2 linked regions of the Xenopus tropicalis genome follow. The protein of the gene in region 1 binds, or shares a complex with, the protein of each later gene. Links are inferred from orthologs where the notes say so. Each region holds a gene or a part of one and is shown on either strand. Other genes may lie near its edges.

Region 1 (4,345 bases):
CAGTGGCCTTCTCTAATGGCTAAATCATTCAAATTAAACCAGCCTTGGGGGCCGCTGCCCCCCTTTCCATCAAGGCCGACCTGCCCCTTATAACGCTGCTAACGTGGTCATAAAATCAATTCACCATACCACGTTGCATTTTTTTTAATAATAAACACATGGAAATGCTACAGCAAGCACAGTAGTATTGATTTCGGGGCAAATGAACTGAGGGGAACCCAAGCACCAAGGCAACCTGTCTTTCCCGAGGGGCCACGTGTGCAACGTTGGTCTATATCGGAATTACCCCATTCATGGGGAGGGATTTCAATATCCCTATAATTCAGGCAAATGTATCCAATGTTGGGTTTATTTGCACCAAATGCCAATATCAATAATACATCATGGGTATGTATATAAGTAAGAAACCCCTTGCACTAGGGATCCCCACTACAAAATATATAAACTCATATACCACTCAATATTAGCCTAACGCGTTTCATGCTTACCCAGCACTTAATCATAGGCTCCAACCTCAAGTCCTACAACTCCCATCATCCACCCTCAAGCAAGTATTTACATTTCAACAATAGCAAGAAAATGGGCGTACCTTACTTAAACCCCCTATATTAATTGGGCTATTGAGTCTCGTTGGCACTGAGATTTCATTACATCTCTATTCAGATGTATGTTAGTAATACTCTCGTACCCTGTAGGAGGGGTAAAACATGTTTTCATCCAACCCACCCCCCACGCCCAGACGTGTTTCCCACTGTACCCCAGGTATAAGACCGTATTCATAAAGTAATAACAATTTTCATTAATATCATTGGGTCATACATGTTACCCCAATGGAGTGTGTGTCTTGGCGATCAAGTGAAGAATAAACCACTATTTTAATGATGAATAATAATAAATATTTTCTAATAATATTTCTATATTATATTTTCTATAACAAACAGAACCATTTACAAAGAAAAACTCAAAAAAGGCTGAATTGATTGGCAAAGCGGTGCCAATTGGCTCCCCAATGCTAAGGAAGTTTGAGTAAAAGAGCCGCAATTGCACCCCGGCCCCTTTAGTGGGCACCTCCTGCTGGTGTCTTCCTTTCACTACTATCACTTCTCCCTCCCCCCTGGCTCTCTGGTTGGAAAGAAAGAAAATAGCTCACTAGAAGGAGGGCTGGGAGTGTAAAGATTAATGAGAAGAGGCCAAGCAAAAGCTCCGGTGCCTTTACAGCTCCATTGCACATTTCCCAAGCCTGGATGCCAATGGTTGCTTCCGGTTCCCCCAACTTTTACATTTTATTTTTCTTTAATAATACAACTACATGTGTGTGCTGCCCGGCACCCTGGCATGAACTGCGCTGAGCAGTAGAATTCTACCAGAGCCGGTCGCTGTCCACTTCAGCACCATGTGAATGGACCCATCCATTGTATTGCCTCCTACAGCCCCAATGTGTGCACAACCCTTGCAGCTCAGTGTGCCATATACACAAATACAAGCAGTATATACTGTCACCTCAACCCCCAACCCTCAGTATCACAGAACTATAACCATCGTGCACTACACCTAGGTGCAACCAAGCTCTTGGTGACTTGCTACTTGACTTGATATTCCAGTCCCAAGCATTAGCACTGCGGAGCATGTTTGGGCAATAAAGACGTCCCTTATATGACACACACACACCCCATTGTCACATGTGAAATCACTAGCGAGCCCCCATTCATTCCACTAGTTTAATAGCATGAATTGGCACGCACAACTTTATGTAGTTGTGCCAGAACGCACCGTGCCCCATTATAAACCACGCTCCGCCGTATATAAATAGTCCTATTTGGCCCGAAGCCACCATTCTCTTCCAGATCTTGCAGGATAAGGAGAAGCTGTGAAATATACATCACTGGGGCTGGCGGAACGGTTTTACAAAACCAAAAATGTTTAAATTATTCACTTCTATCTTTAAAATATCACTTCGGCTCTAGGGACGAGGGTCTTAATAATTCATTATAAGATCTTGCTGCATTTTTTTTTCCCTTCTACTGCTTGTTAATATGTATGTGTGTGTATGTGTGTGTGTGGGTTTTTTTCCCCTTTAAAATACTGCAGCATGGATGTGAAGTAAAGAGGAGAAATGAAAGCTGCTATTCCTTCTCCAAACAAGCAAAGTGCAGAGAATCTCTATGAAATCGCTCCTCCGGGAGCCACACTGAGGGTCCTGGTTCCTAGGCTGGGGATGGAAGGGAATGCCGGAGATGTTACTTACCGGATACCGGGAGATTTAGGCTGAGCAGAGCGAATCCATGCAGGAGAAACACCAGCTTTGGTAGTGAATAAAATCCAAGACTATTCTCCATATTTCAGCAAACACCTCCCGATTTGTGTCCCAATTCCCAAGCACACTCATGCACACTCAACCCTGATTGCCTTAAATATTCCTGGTCCCTTGGCGGCTTCAGCAGGCAAAGTTAATGCTGGTCCAGTTCAGCATCAGCCCTGATGTACCCCCTTCCAAATAGCAAGTAAGTAGGGGCAAGCTTGTAGGGTGGGCTGAAGGTCCCAATGAAAACCATCCAAAGATAAAATCCTCCAGAATTAGATCCAGGTGCAGAAAATAAATCTGTAGAGGAGTCCCATGTCCCCAGTGCTGGATAAAAATAAAAATCAGCTTGGTAAAAAAAGGGGGTTATTAATAAAAAAAAAAAAGAAAAGCACAGGAGAGACTGATGCTTCCTCCTTCCCTGGCAGAGGAGAAAAAGACAGGGGCTTTAAAGAGCTCACTTGTTACTAGAGCAATCCACCAGCAGTGTATGTGAGCTAAGAATCAAATGTGTTCACCCATTGATCCACAGAAAGTGAAGAGGCTGGAGAGGAAAACAAGGAGCTGGGAAGCGCAGGAATGGGATGGAATGGGGATTGCGGAGGGGACAGCACTGGCTCCACTGGCTCTATACGGATTCTTTGTTCAGTCGCCAGTATGAAAGCATGAGCGGGGGCGCCCTCTGTCGGCGGCTGCTGGGAATGGCGGCAGCGCAGGGAGAAACGCTGGATCAGTGCGCGTCTTGCAGCTGCTACTGGGTCTTTACTGACAGCCCAAACAGGTTCCGAGCAGTTTAGATAATATGTATTATATATATATATATTATATGGAGGGAAAGGAGGAATGAGAGTTCTGCTGGCTGTCTGATCCTGCTCTCTCCTACAGGATACAATAGGCTGGGAGGGAAAACCAGAAATTCATTCATGTCATAAAAATGTCACAGAGTTACACTTTGTTTCATTCTGTGACTGGGGCATTAGCAGCATGGGGGGCTCACTGGGGCTCATTAACTACCCACAGACGCGCAAAGATGAACGCAGTTCAGTGCAAACTGACACTATTGGTTAGTATACAGGTATGGGACCCCTTATCCAGAATGCGAAGGACCGGAGAAGGGGTCATTCTGTAATTCGGATCTGCTACCTTAAGTCTGCTAAAAAAAAATATTTAAACAGTAATTAAACCCAAAAAGGCTGTTCTGCCCCCAATAAGGGGTAATTATATCTTAGTTGGGATCAAGTACAGGTACTGTTTTATTATTACAGAGAAAAGGGAATCATTTAACCATGAAATAAACCCAATAGGGCTGTTCTGCCCCCAATAAGGGGTAATTATATCTTAGTTGGGATCAAGTACAGGTACTGTTTTATTATTACAGAGAAAAGGGAATCATTTAACCATTAAATAAACCCAATAGGGCTGTTCTGCCCCCAATAAGGGGTAATTATATCTTAGTTGGGATCAAGTACAGGTACTGTTTTATTATTACAGAGAAAAGGGAATCATTTAACCATTAAATAAACCCAATAGGGCTGTTCTGCCCCAATAAGGGGTAATTATATCTTAGTTGGGATCAAGTACAGGTACTGTTTTATTATTACAGAGAAAAGGGAATCATTTAACCATGAAATAAACCCAATAGGGCTGTTCTGCCCCCAATAAGGGGTAATTATATCTTAGTTGGGATCAAGTACAACTACTGTTTTATTATTACAGAGAAAAGGGAATCATTTAACCATTAAATAAACCCAATAGGGCTGTTCTGCCCCCAATAAGGGGTAATTATATCTTAGTTGGGATCAAGTACAGGTACTGTTTTATTATTACAGAGAAAAGGGAATCATTTAACCATTAAATAAACCCAATAGGGCTGTTCTGCCCCAATAAGGGGTAATTATATCTTAGTTGGGATCAAGTACAGGTACTGTTTTATTATTAGAGAGAAAGGGAATCATTTAACCATGAAATAAACCCAATAGGGCTGTTCTGCCCCCAATAAGGGGTAATTATATCTTAGTTGGGATCAAGTACAGGTACTGTTTTATT
Region 2 (3,821 bases), about 50 Mb from region 1:
CTACCCTGCCAATATCTTGCTGAAAATTGGGGAGGTTTGAATCGAGGACTTCATTGACTTGTTGATTCGACCACTCCAATGCTTGTATTCCTGTCATTATGGTCTGATCATTTGGCCCTAGGTTCAGCCCAATATCGGTCACCTCGGTTAGGCATATCGGGAAAGAATCTCCCCGATAGAGGTTCCCAGTATGTATAAAAAGGTGATGTAAGTTGAGAGTTTTTAGCCCTAGTTGTGCCTTATTCATTGTGGTCTCCTCAGCAAATGAAGCTACTTCTATATTCTAGAATTCCAAGCAGTGCAACAGCCATTGGTACAGCGAACCTCCTTCCCCAGCTAGGTGTGTGTGTGGATTAGGTTTGGATGTGCCACAACGGCAGCTTGCTTGATTCATTAGGAAGGCACCAAAACCAGCTGGCCGTGAGACAGTACTGATCTTCACATGGGACATAGCATTGCTTTTGACATAGTACCCTTTTGGCAGTTTACTTTCCAGAATCCAGAAAAAGTGGGCAGTCTTTCTTAGCTGTTAAACTGTAGGTGAGTAGGTTCTCAGTCAACATGCTTTTGACTCCCTAGTTCAGCAGAAGCTGCCAGAACTTTTTGGTGGCAGCTCGGAATCCTCTGTTTATGAGAATAGATGCTGTGGTCATTTCATAATTGTTCTGATTTTCATATGCACCAGAGGTTACCTCTTTAGATTAGAGGAACAGAACTTTGGAACAGAGTAGGAAATTTTTCATGGCGAGGGCAGTGCGGTTGTGGAATACCCTGCTGAGTGAATTTATGATGGCAGATTCTGTTAAAGGGGACAAATACTATACATTTTTACAATGCACTCAACCATGTAAAATAATGTCAAATAGAAGTAAGTGCGTTTATTTTAATACCTTTTGGTTCAAATATGCCCATAACTGCTTGAAAACTGTGCTCTACCCAGTCCTTTTGCAAGCTTCCGGTTTAGACTCTTCAGTATGTGGCTGGGGCCCTGATAGACTTCAGTAACAGAGCAGCAGCTACTTAAAGTGCAGTGAATATGCATAGGGTGGGCAGGGCTTTGCAATGTCACAGGCAGTCTGTTCCTGCTCCAGCTATATAGTTTATAGCTACGTGCGTATATACGTGCATAGATCGGTATAAAGTGTGTGTATATATGTGCAGAGGGGTTCAACTTGATGGACTTTGGTCTTTGTCTTTTTTTCTCCAACCCAATCCGTAATCTATATAAACATGGTTCCATTTATTCCATTGCTTGCGAGGGTCAATGAGACCATAAAGAACAGCAGTAGGTTATCATTATAGGCACTGACTCCTGCTTGGTAAAATTTATAGCAACACTGATATTGTATTGCGGTCCACCTTTATTGGACAGTATTGTATTGCAGACCACTTTTTGGCACCCAGCTTAAAAGGAGTCTAGCTTTCATAAATATAATATATTAGAAGCAACGAGGGGTTCTATGACCATATAAAGGCACAAGGATAAAGGTCATTTAGGTCATGGACCTCTGACTTGACCCTCATATTAAAGAAGGGGTATATTTTATCATGTTTCATGCAGTCACGTGACACAAATTGCATTAGTAAGCACTTGTTATAACTGATTACATTACTAACAACCATTTCTAAGAATATAATTTACATGATTTTCATGGTTGCTGTGTCTTATAATTGTATGTTTAAGTTAACTGTTCCGTATTTTTCAGGAATTCTTGGATCTCCATCTCAAGAGGACCTAAACTGTATAATCAATTTAAAAGCTAGGAATTACTTGCTTTCCCTTCCTCACAAAAATAAGGTGCCATGGAACAGACTTTTCCCTAATGCAGATCCTAAAGGTAATTTGAATTCATTTTTTGGTTGGGGGTGGGGATGAAAGGGAAAGATTTTACTGTTCCAAGGAATAATATATTTTTAAACTGTATGCCACTTGTTTCAACCTATTGGTTGCATTAAGTGCTCTGTTAAAACAGTCGTCAGAATTAGTAAGAGATTGATGGTTTTTCATAAATTAAATGCATCAGGGACAATAATTTCCTACTGTCTGATATAGTCAAACCAGGAGCTAAGCTTTGTCAGTAATGTGTTCTCTAATACTTACTTTATGATGCAAATTATATTTAATAGAAGGTTTACTATTAGTCTACTTCTGCTGTTTTTAAAATCAATATACTGGTCGTTTACAAAGATCCATTAAGCAGGTTTGAACATTGATTCAACTGAGTAGGCTGAAAGAAGCGGTAATACAAGTTTGTGTATTTTGAATCTGACTATACAGTAGATTGATCCTTTTGTTTATTCCTATATTTTGCTTTGTGTTAATGTTATCCAGCGTACTGAAATATTTTTTACTGTGACCATTAGAAAGATTTACAGTTTTAAGCATATAGCCAGTGTTGGCTATAATATTGTAGCTACCATATTAAAGGAGAAGGAAAGGTAAAAAGTAAGCTTTTTAAGAAAGGTCTATGTAGATACAGCCATAAACACTTGCAGAACTGCTTCTCTGAGTCCTCGGTGAAAAAAAATTAATTTCTTTCCTTCTATTCTGTATACATGATATTCTGTGTCAGACTTCCTTCTCTTGGAAAAATCCTTTAGGACACAGCATAAGTCTGCTCAGTTTGCTCCTCTTGCCCTCCCTTCTGCTCTCTCTCCCTTGCCTCTGTACTGTAATCTTAGTTGAGAGCTGTTCCCTGCCTGTACGCTGCTGCTAGGAAGTGACGTCACACCAAGCTAAAATGGCAGCAGCTTAAACAAACAGAGGGCTCTTCTAGGGCTGTTTACTCAGGTATCATAAAGAGTTCTGAAGAATAAATATAGTATTCCAGCTCAAACTATTGTGACTAATCTATTGGCAATAAAATGCCTGAGTAGCTTTTCTTCTCCTTTAGAGTAAGTAAAGCCTAAAAACATCTGCATTGGAGTTTACCACAAAGTGCATTAATTTGCAGTCTCTCCACTTGTCAGTTCAAACCTGCCTGCAGAATAGGGCATTTTTATATTGCACTGTGTCTTCTAAACTATCTTTTATAAACCATAAGCCAGGCAAATACTTACCTGCACAATTGATTCATGGGGCACTTAATAGAAAAAGATCAGTTAGCTCCCAATTCTCCCTACTGATATGTTGTCAAAGAAATTCTAGCTTTGGGGGGAATCAAGGTGCTCTACATGTTCAGCATGAAATGTTGGTTAACAAGGGGTTTGTAAACGAATTAAAAGAGATTTAAGGGGGGGCGTGGCCTGCATGGCTTCCTGAGTGGACATGTGCCTGTGAGCTCTATCGCAACTATCCTGAATTTGCCTCTCTAGGCGACCTTACACACCAACATTTGAGCCACGATACAACATCTGACTTCATATAGATTATGGGTGGCAACAAGGCACAAATATCATGAGCAGAAGCCGCTGCCAAACTGGGACAGTTTTTTTGACAGCCTACACAAGATGGCGGCACTACCCCACCCAGAGAGGACAAAGAGGCCCATGCCCCGTTTCCTCTACAGGAACAAGCAATCCAGCTTGTCCTTGCAGCTAACAGACAGCCGAGTAGCTTTATCCTCCAAGCTTGAGGAGGTGAAAACTGACCTCTCACTTCTCCAAGCCGACCTGCAAATCTTGAGAGAAAGAACAACAGAGGCAGAGGGCCATATATCAAGGCTGGAAGACGCCTGCAACCCCCTGACAGCAAATGTGCAACAGCTCCAGTCGCAAAGTAAGCAACTAGCGGCGAAGCTGAATGAATATGAAAACCGGCAGCTACAAAACAACCTGCGAGTAGTCTGCCTACTGGAAAGAACAGAAGGCGAAGATGCAGC

Evidence for each region.
Region 2: the proteins of dcc (region 1) and mapk1 are in contact, whole or in part, in a crystal structure (PDB 3O71), measured with the Rattus norvegicus proteins. The link is inferred for Xenopus tropicalis from reciprocal best matches to the Homo sapiens genes DCC and MAPK1. Residues at the interface, in NP_036973.1 of Rattus norvegicus: Arg1149, Pro1150, Pro1151, Asp1152, Leu1153, Trp1154, Ile1155, His1156; in NP_446294.1 of Rattus norvegicus: Glu107, Thr108, Leu113, Gln117, Leu119, Asp122, His123, Tyr126, Phe127, Asn156, Thr157, Thr158, Cys159, Tyr314.

What each region holds. Positions count from the first base shown.
Region 1 is NC_030677.2:204,366,181-204,370,525, forward strand, and holds the start of dcc (netrin receptor DCC), read right to left. Parts: upstream 2,833-4,345; 5' UTR 2,337-2,832; coding exon 2,246-2,336; intron 1-2,245. UniProt on the Homo sapiens protein: Receptor for netrin required for axon guidance. Mediates axon attraction of neuronal growth cones in the developing nervous system upon ligand binding. Its association with UNC5 proteins may trigger signaling for axon repulsion.
Region 2 is NC_030677.2:154,036,453-154,040,273, forward strand, and holds part of mapk1 (mitogen-activated protein kinase 1), read left to right. Parts: intron 1-1,706; coding exon 1,707-1,838; intron 1,839-3,821. UniProt on the Homo sapiens protein: Serine/threonine kinase which acts as an essential component of the MAP kinase signal transduction pathway. MAPK1/ERK2 and MAPK3/ERK1 are the 2 MAPKs which play an important role in the MAPK/ERK cascade.